2 linked regions of the Coturnix japonica genome follow. The protein of the gene in region 1 binds, or shares a complex with, the protein of each later gene. Links are inferred from orthologs where the notes say so. Each region holds a gene or a part of one and is shown in the gene's direction. Other genes may lie near its edges.

Region 1 (3,532 bases):
ATGCTTGGAGGCCTGTGGGACAATCTAAGTTAATAGTCCCCAACAGTGATGAGAAAGATCAGAGATAAAAAGGCTCCTCTGTGCTGCGTCAGTTGTTTGCAGATTGTCACAACTGCCCAAAGACAACTGAGGAATCACTTTGACGATTCTCAGAGACTCACCAAAACAAAGGTTTTTTCAGTTCTTTAACTTTTTAGCCCTGTGTTTTCATCCTCAAGTCTGATGCTTCATCTTTTACACAGAAAAATAGTCATGCATACCCCACATAGAAATAGGTTTGTCATTTTGGGAGAAGCAGAGAAAGGACTCCTTGCTAGTGGGATTGAAGTGTTGAGGAAGTTTTTCTCTCTGTGTTGGTCTCCCTCTTCACCATTCAAAAAACTGATCTGCTCCCTTTCCTTGCAGAATGCCTCCTGCATTGGCCCGTTCTCTACTTCGAGGTTCTGTCCCTGGATTTCTGGCAGAGGTATCGTGTCGAAGGTTATGGTTCTGTTGTGCTGCCAACATCTCCAGGTAAAAAACCAAACATCTTTGGGGCAGTATGTTAAGTGTGTAGGGAAATAGGAGTTGAGTGGTTCTCTTTGGAACAGCTGCACCTAATTCTGGGAGGCTTCACCGTGTCATTTTGAAATGAATAGTTTGCTGTCTGTGAAGCAGCAGAGTGATGTGATGTGTCTGCACCTTCTGCCATGATGAGAAGCATTGTGTTTTGCTGTACTTGTTCTTCCAGTGGTTCTGCTGGAGAACTGTATGTGATAAAGCTCTGCATGTCCATCTTTACAATAGCAGTAGGCCCTTTCTGTTGTGTATGTAATCCCAGGCTCACAACTAGTCTAACATCATCACATAGTAAAGGGGATGGTGTCAGTGCTGGCTGTGTGGCTGGGGCTCATTGGAAAAACCTGGGAATCAGTGGGTATTCATCAGTAGGTATCCGTCCACCATGATGTCCTCTATGACTGTCGGACAGTACTGCTGAACTGTTCTGTTGTCTTGGCTCAGGTCTCCACGTGCTCACCATCCCGACCTGGCGCCCTGTAGAGCTGGGTACAGTTGCTGAGATGAGGAGATTTTTCATCGGTGGGTCTCCTGAGCTGGAGGACGTGACCTATGCCAGGATACCAACAACCTTCAAGGTAGGCTTAGCTGTGGGATGTTGCTCTTGCTGGGAAATGGTGGATTATGCTCTTAGAATCAAAGAATCATAAATTATCCCAAGTTTGAAGGAGCCCAAAGGATTATCAGTTCCAGCTCCCTGCTCTACACAGGACTACCCACAGCTAAAGTGCATGTTCTGTGTCCAAACACTTCTCTAACTTCAGCTGCTTTGATGTTCCAGTGGCTCCCCTGGGAGGCCCAACAAGCCTCTTAGAGAAGACCTCTCACCATCTTTGTTGCTGTCCTTTGGAATCTGTTTAATAAGCTGATGTTTTTCTCCTATTGTGGCACCCAGACTGAACAAAGGGCTCAAGATGGAACCCTTCCCCCAGCACTGTATCTTCCCAGTGGTCAGGTCCTGCCCTCAGCACAGCCTGGAACTGTCTGCTTGTCTCTCTGACGTCAGTTTCTGTTTGAAGCAGTGCAAGGAGTGATTCTGTGCCTGCGGGAGTGCTTGTCCTGGTGGGGCACACTCGTTGGGGTCAGCCTGCTGTAATAGGTTAGAGGCTGTAGGTACTCTAACTTGTGCTGTTTTTGCAGGGAAAGCATCTGAGCCGCTTTGGTTTTCGCACAAAGACAACAGGGAATGTCACGTTCCGGCTTTACTGCCTGCAGCAATCCAAGTGAGTGCAGCAAAGTGAGCACAAGCTCTGTGTTGTGTGCTGTGTTCTTCCAGCCCTGACCTCGAGCTGTACTTCTGTGCAGAGCCTTTCTGGAAACTAATGCCCTGAGGCATCGCATGCAGAGCGTTCTGGACCGGCTTGGAGGCCTCAGCCAGCAGAGCTCTGTCTACAATGTTCTGGGTAGGACCTTCAGTCTCCTTCTTCGAGGAGGACCTTTGTCTCACTTTTACCTCCTGTTTACAGGTTGGTCAGGGTATTTCAGGAGAATCCATTGCTTGAAGTGGAATTATCCCCCACTGTGAGCTCTCTCTGAGTTAAAACAGAAGTTAAATGTTCTGACCTGACATTGCTGGAAATTTGAGGAGGCATCAGCCCTGAGCAGTCAGAAGGGATACTCGGTCCATGAGGGCAAAGCCTGGGCTGGGCTGCCCAGTCTTGCACTGAACATAACTTGTGGCTGCGGTGTGCAGAGTCAGTCTCTGATCCATTATGCGCAGAGCAAAGAGCAGCAGCAGTCAGGTGGTACTTAGTGAGACCCCTGTTCTGAGAGGTGATGTGCACTGGACAGACTTGTCCTTCCCGTTCCCTGCGGCTGTCTGATGTGTTCTGACTTGCTGTCACCTGCTGTGTTGCAGAGGCTTTCCATCGGGCTCGGCGGCGGATGCAGGAGGCCCGTGAGAGCCTTCCCCAGGACCTCATCAGCACTTCTGCCTCCAGTGTGTGGAAGAACCCTGACTGACAGACTGACAGACCGACAGCCTCACTGCCTCTGGCCTGGGGGCAGCCCACATCTCTCTGACAGAAGCTCCCAGTGCCCTGAAGCTCTTTGAGGCCCTTCCTTTGCAGACAGGGGCAGAGATGCTGCCCTATGTCTCTCTATAGCACATCCATACTGAGAATCGTTTCCACAGGTGCGCTGTTTGAAGGCATTTTGTTACCAGGCCTTGATGTTAGAGCCAGTTGTTCATGTTTCTGCTGAGCTGACTAAAATACTGACATGAGACACGTGAGCTTTTTGAATATTGAATTGTAGGCAATGAGAAAATTTTCAAGTCTACTTGACTTGATAGATTTACTTTTCTTCTTAAAGAAGAGGGTTATGTTGAAGGTCAGGGCATGAATGTTGTTTGAGATTTAATTAACTGAGTAGTGAACTTACTGATAGTTACCATCAGCATTTGAAGCTTTAGGTCAGTTTTCAGTAAAATGAATCTGACCACCTGAGATTTAAAACTGATTCATTCCTAGAGAAAGGGAGGGGTCTTCATCGCATGGAAACCAAAGCAAGGAAATTATGTGTGACAGAGGCCAGACTGGAGAAGAGGGTTCTGTTCTGTATTTCTTTTTATCTGTGGAATTTCTGGCTCTTCTGACTGCAAGGATGAGCAGAAGGACTTTGGGAATACAACTGAAAATACATCTTCTCTTTAGTTCATAGAAGAGCTGGGCTGGATGTTGCAGATGAGAACAGATTGTGACATTTGCACAGCAGCTGAACTTTGAACTGTTAAGCTCTTCATCTGAGCTGCAACTCATTGCTTGAGCTCAGCAATACACTGCATTGCTTCCTGGGGAAGCATATGTTTACACAGTTTTTACTCACTTTCTTCTTCTTTTCTCAGCCTTTTTTATTCCCCTATTTTTGTTCCTGTCTCACGTTCACAGGACTGGGGCTACCTGCAGACCCACAGTGATAGGAAGAAAAATATCACACAGGGCTGAGTGCATCTGAAAAGCCAGAATTCGCAGGC
Region 2 (4,182 bases), on another chromosome or scaffold:
CCTCTGCTGCTCCCTGTCACACGGCAACAACAGGGAACGGAATACTGGTAGGAAGGTTCACCTCCATCACCTCCACTGCCATACCACCACCATCTGCTTCTGACATTGTGGGCCAGCACAATGAAATAGCAGGTGTTACTTTCAGAGCAGCCTTCATAACATATGCAGTACAGTTACTGTATAAGAAATCAAATGTTCCAGTGTTTTTATTAAAACATTTTTATTTTTTTTTTAAAGAGTAACGAAAACCTCAAACCAATGGGATGTGTTCTTGTTTTTGTGAAGCTCAGCATGTGGTAAGAGAGGGCTTAAAAAAGCCTGGTAAAGAGATATGATGACCAAACTATTCTTTGGAGTGAATGCCTGATTGCAGCTGTTGGAAATTCACAGGTTATACATTTGTGTCAACTGAAAATGCAGTCATAAACATACCAAAACATTCATGATTCTTTGTTTGGTTTTTTTGTTTGTTTGGTTGTTTTTTTGGTTTTGTTTTTAAGTTGAGTTAGTGCTGCACTGCATCCTCCATGTCCCACACCAGCCCAGGCAGTGCTGATTGCACACCGATATGTGGTTGTTGTGAGCAGTGGGTGCACACCTGAGGTCACTTGGGCTGCCACAGTATTTTAGCAGGGCTTGGCTTTTATTCCATCAACTCAAGTGACTGAAAACTGACAAAATATGGATTTATTATAGAGGAAAATCATATCCAAAGCCCCTTTTCTTATTGGTTTGAGTCAAGGCAGCACGTTCTCTTCACCAAAGAGTACAGTGACTATGGCTAACAAATTCCTCACTCTCTTCATCTCACATTACAGGTTTATTGGACTCAGAGGAAACAACTTATCCTGTCGGCCTGGTTCCTCCTGGAGAAAATCTACTGGAGGAGGTTGCGCTGCCTATAAAGAAGTTATTCATGTAGTAAGCCTGCTCTTGCAGCTAGCACTGTGCCAGCTTATAGTGAAGTCAGAGCGGGGTCCTTGGCAGGAAACACACTGGAAAGCAGAGCCCTGCATGGCCCTGGAATGGGGTGAGTACAAGCAGCGGGAGCCGGGCTGGTGCATGAGCTGGTACTTTGCCCCTCGCAGCAGCGGGATGTACATTGAAAAGCAGCTGCCAGAAAAGCACAGCATCGGGTGTTCGTTCCCTTTGCAGTTTGATTTTCTTTTAACTTAGAGCTTGTCACTTCATTTGCAAATAGTGTCACTCATAACGAGGCGAACGAAGCCGGAATCCCGGTCTGTTCAAGGCCTCGCTTTCCCCGTCGCCGCACTGAGGATACCGGCTGTGCCGCCGAGGAGCGCGGCCGTAGCGGCGGGGCGGGGCGGAAGCGAGCGGCGGCTCCTCCCTGCGGGGCTCGGGACGGCGGCGGGGGCGGCATGGCGGAGCCGCGGGCGGGACCCGAGCGGGTGAGGGCGGCGGGGCTCCCAGAAGGGCGGGGGGGGGGCCGGGCCTAAAGCCTTCCCCGGCCTAGGCCGCGCTGTGGGCGTTGGCGGCGGTTCGGTGCGGCGGTGGGTGGGGGGCTTCGAGTTTGAAGAGCCGGCCCCCGTTGTGCCGCTGGGGCGGCCGTGGGTGTGTCTCGTCGGAGGGTTCCCGTGGCCCTGCTCACCGAACGGCACCGGGGGATGGAGTCTCCAAATGGCCATCTCGTGCAGCCGCCCCCTTGCTGTGGCCTGCGGTGTGCTCCTCCGGGCCATGGGCAGCTGCAGCTGAGGGCTGGAGATCTCTGCCATATCCTAGATAATTAACGATAGTTATCGCTCAAACGATGATGAAGGCAATAATGAGCCCCGAGCTAAACTTCGCTTTAAGCTTCCTCGTGCGGCGAGTCTCACTTAGCAGGTGAAAATCCCCGAGCAGAGCTCACCTGAACCTTTACCAGCACATAGAGCAATGGGGTTTGGGGCAGGTGCCATTTAGGACAAGCTTTGCTGCCAGAGCAAACCACCATTGATTCTAGCAGGAATAGTGCTGGGCACTGGCCCAGGGGCAGGGAGGTTTACAGCCAGCTAATCCGGGCAGCCAGAAGCTTATTTTTAGTTCAGAATTAGCAGAGGTTCAGCGTGAGCGACGTCAGGAGTGGAGAACTGTTCACAGTGCCTCTTCCAGGGAACTGCTTCCAATGATATGGGGAAAAAACAAGTGGTAAGTTGGGGGCCCTTGAGCTTTACTGGTCAGGCAGGCTTTTGTGTTGTTGGTATCAACTGAGTTCTTGTAATGTAGGAAATGTTTAATGCTATACTTCTTATGTATTATTATATAATACAAAATCATCCAGTGCAAGAACTGCATTTCAGATTGACAATAGGAGATATGTGTTTCTTACTCTTTATGTATTTGGTTGTGTATGAGAACCTGGTTTCAGAAGCATAACATAGATAGTGTGAGTTATTATTGCCTCTGAAAGCAGCTGTTCTCTGTGGAGTGGTTTAACAGACCTCGGGATGATTTTGCACTGTCAGAAGCTGACTTCTGTCTCTCCGTTATGTTTCAGCGCCCTCCACGTGCCCTCCCCCCAGTGCCAAGGTAAGATCAGTTCGTTCCACAGGATTGATTGTGGTTCTCTACTGCTGTGTTTTTAAAGGAAATGAAATGAAAGAAAATGAGTTTGAGTATCTGCACAGTCACAGTAGCTTTTTAAACATTTGCTTTTCTTGCTGCTTTGTTGTTCTAGAATCCCTCACAAGAATTATAAAGCATTTAACGTTTTTAGAGGCTGAGAAATTGACTCATTTTTAATTGAAGTTTACCTCACTTTTAATATTCAGGAAGATTAAACCTTTTAAAGTCTTAGACAAACATCAACTTCAGTTTTATTAGCATCTGTATCAGTTTTACTGATGTTTCTCTTTTCACTTTCTTCTTCCTTAACTCTTTGTTGCTGTTGTTTTGCTACATTCTTTGGTACGTTTAAATCACAAATCCTTCAGGACAGGGATTTTTGAAATCAAGCTAGGTGTTATCAAATGGAGACACAGGTGTTTATCAGTTTGACATAATATGGAATCATAGAATTGCTTAGGCTGGGAAAGACCTTATAGATCATCGAGTCCGACTGCATCCAGAGAAATCTGGGCTTTTTTCTTTTTTCCAGCATTTTAATGAGCAGTGTGGAAGGAAAAGCAATTCTACGGATTTTTATGGCATGATATGTCAGAATTCCTTCAAAGTACCTTAGGGCAAATGTGATGTTCATGATTGGCAACATATAAAGGTGTATTTTTAGTAATGTGTATGTTGTAATGTTTCATAACTTCTGTTAGTTTGTTACATGTCAGGCAAGTTTTAATTAACCAGGTGATTATCGCTTTTAATCTGATCTATAGCTGGCCAATCAAGAAACTGCACAGTCACGGACAGTGTTGAGTCTGGATGATTGCTTTGTACACTTAACCCTTTTGTGTACAGTTGCCAGTAAATAAACGTGGGAATGGAAATAAGGGGAATAATGAAATGAAAAAGTAGAGAGAATGTCACTGTTGTGAGTTGATTAAAAACTAACTCTCTTCTTACCTTTGCTCCTTTGGCGCTGCTCTTCAACACCTTTTCTCATTAAACGTGAAGTGGAAACCAGGGTGAGTTATTCTGTCATCAGAGAGAGTTGTAACCATCTATATAGTTCTTGTGTCATTTTATCCTCTCTTGAATCATAGAATCATAGGATTGCCTGGGTTGAAAAGGATCACAGTGATCATCTAGTTTCAGCCCCCCTGCTATGTGTAGGGTTGCCAACTGCTAGACCAAGCTGCCCAGAAGGACTGAAGGATTGATCCTTACACTCTTCCTAAATGCATGCAATCATGGGTATTCAGACTGTTGTTGTGAGAACTATCTGATCTTTTGTTCTTCTTACTAATTGCTAGTTCTGAGTTAGGGCAACTGTAATGTTGTCACTGTGTTCTGAAGAGTTCTCTGAAGTTTATTCTTCAGAGTATCATTCAGGTTTTCACTTAACATGTGCATGTGTATATTTAGCCTCTGTTACACGTAAGACAGATAAGTTATTTTGCTTTCCTGCTATCTACTGTACTTTTCCTGTTTCTGAACATTGGTGAATTGTCACCTGATCTGTAAAAGCTGAAATATGTCCTTGCTTTTAAAAAGGACTCTTTCTTAATTTGGAATGGTATGGTTGTTAAAAAAGGGAAATGAAGGTTTTTCCATGCTGTGCACATTGACTTT

Evidence for each region.
Region 2: MKS1 (region 1) and TMEM237 share a complex: the UniProt entries of both Homo sapiens proteins name them as parts of the tectonic-like complex. The link is inferred for Coturnix japonica from reciprocal best matches to the Homo sapiens genes MKS1 and TMEM237.

What each region holds. Positions count from the first base shown.
Region 1 is NC_029534.1:112,271-115,802, reverse strand, and holds the end of MKS1 (Meckel syndrome type 1 protein), read left to right. Parts: intron 1-405; coding exon 406-513; intron 514-1,002; coding exon 1,003-1,136; intron 1,137-1,698; coding exon 1,699-1,781; intron 1,782-1,863; coding exon 1,864-1,961; intron 1,962-2,416; coding exon 2,417-2,520; 3' UTR 2,521-3,005; downstream 3,006-3,532. UniProt on the Homo sapiens protein: Component of the tectonic-like complex, a complex localized at the transition zone of primary cilia and acting as a barrier that prevents diffusion of transmembrane proteins between the cilia and plasma membranes.
Region 2 is NC_029522.1:9,998,854-10,003,035, reverse strand, and holds the start of TMEM237 (transmembrane protein 237), read left to right. Parts: upstream 1-1,336; 5' UTR 1,337-1,379; coding exon 1,380-1,409; intron 1,410-1,477; exon of another isoform or gene 1,478-2,127; coding exon of another isoform or gene 2,128-2,145; intron 2,146-2,494; coding exon 2,495-2,526; intron 2,527-3,564; coding exon 3,565-3,575; intron 3,576-4,182. UniProt on the Homo sapiens protein: Component of the transition zone in primary cilia. Required for ciliogenesis.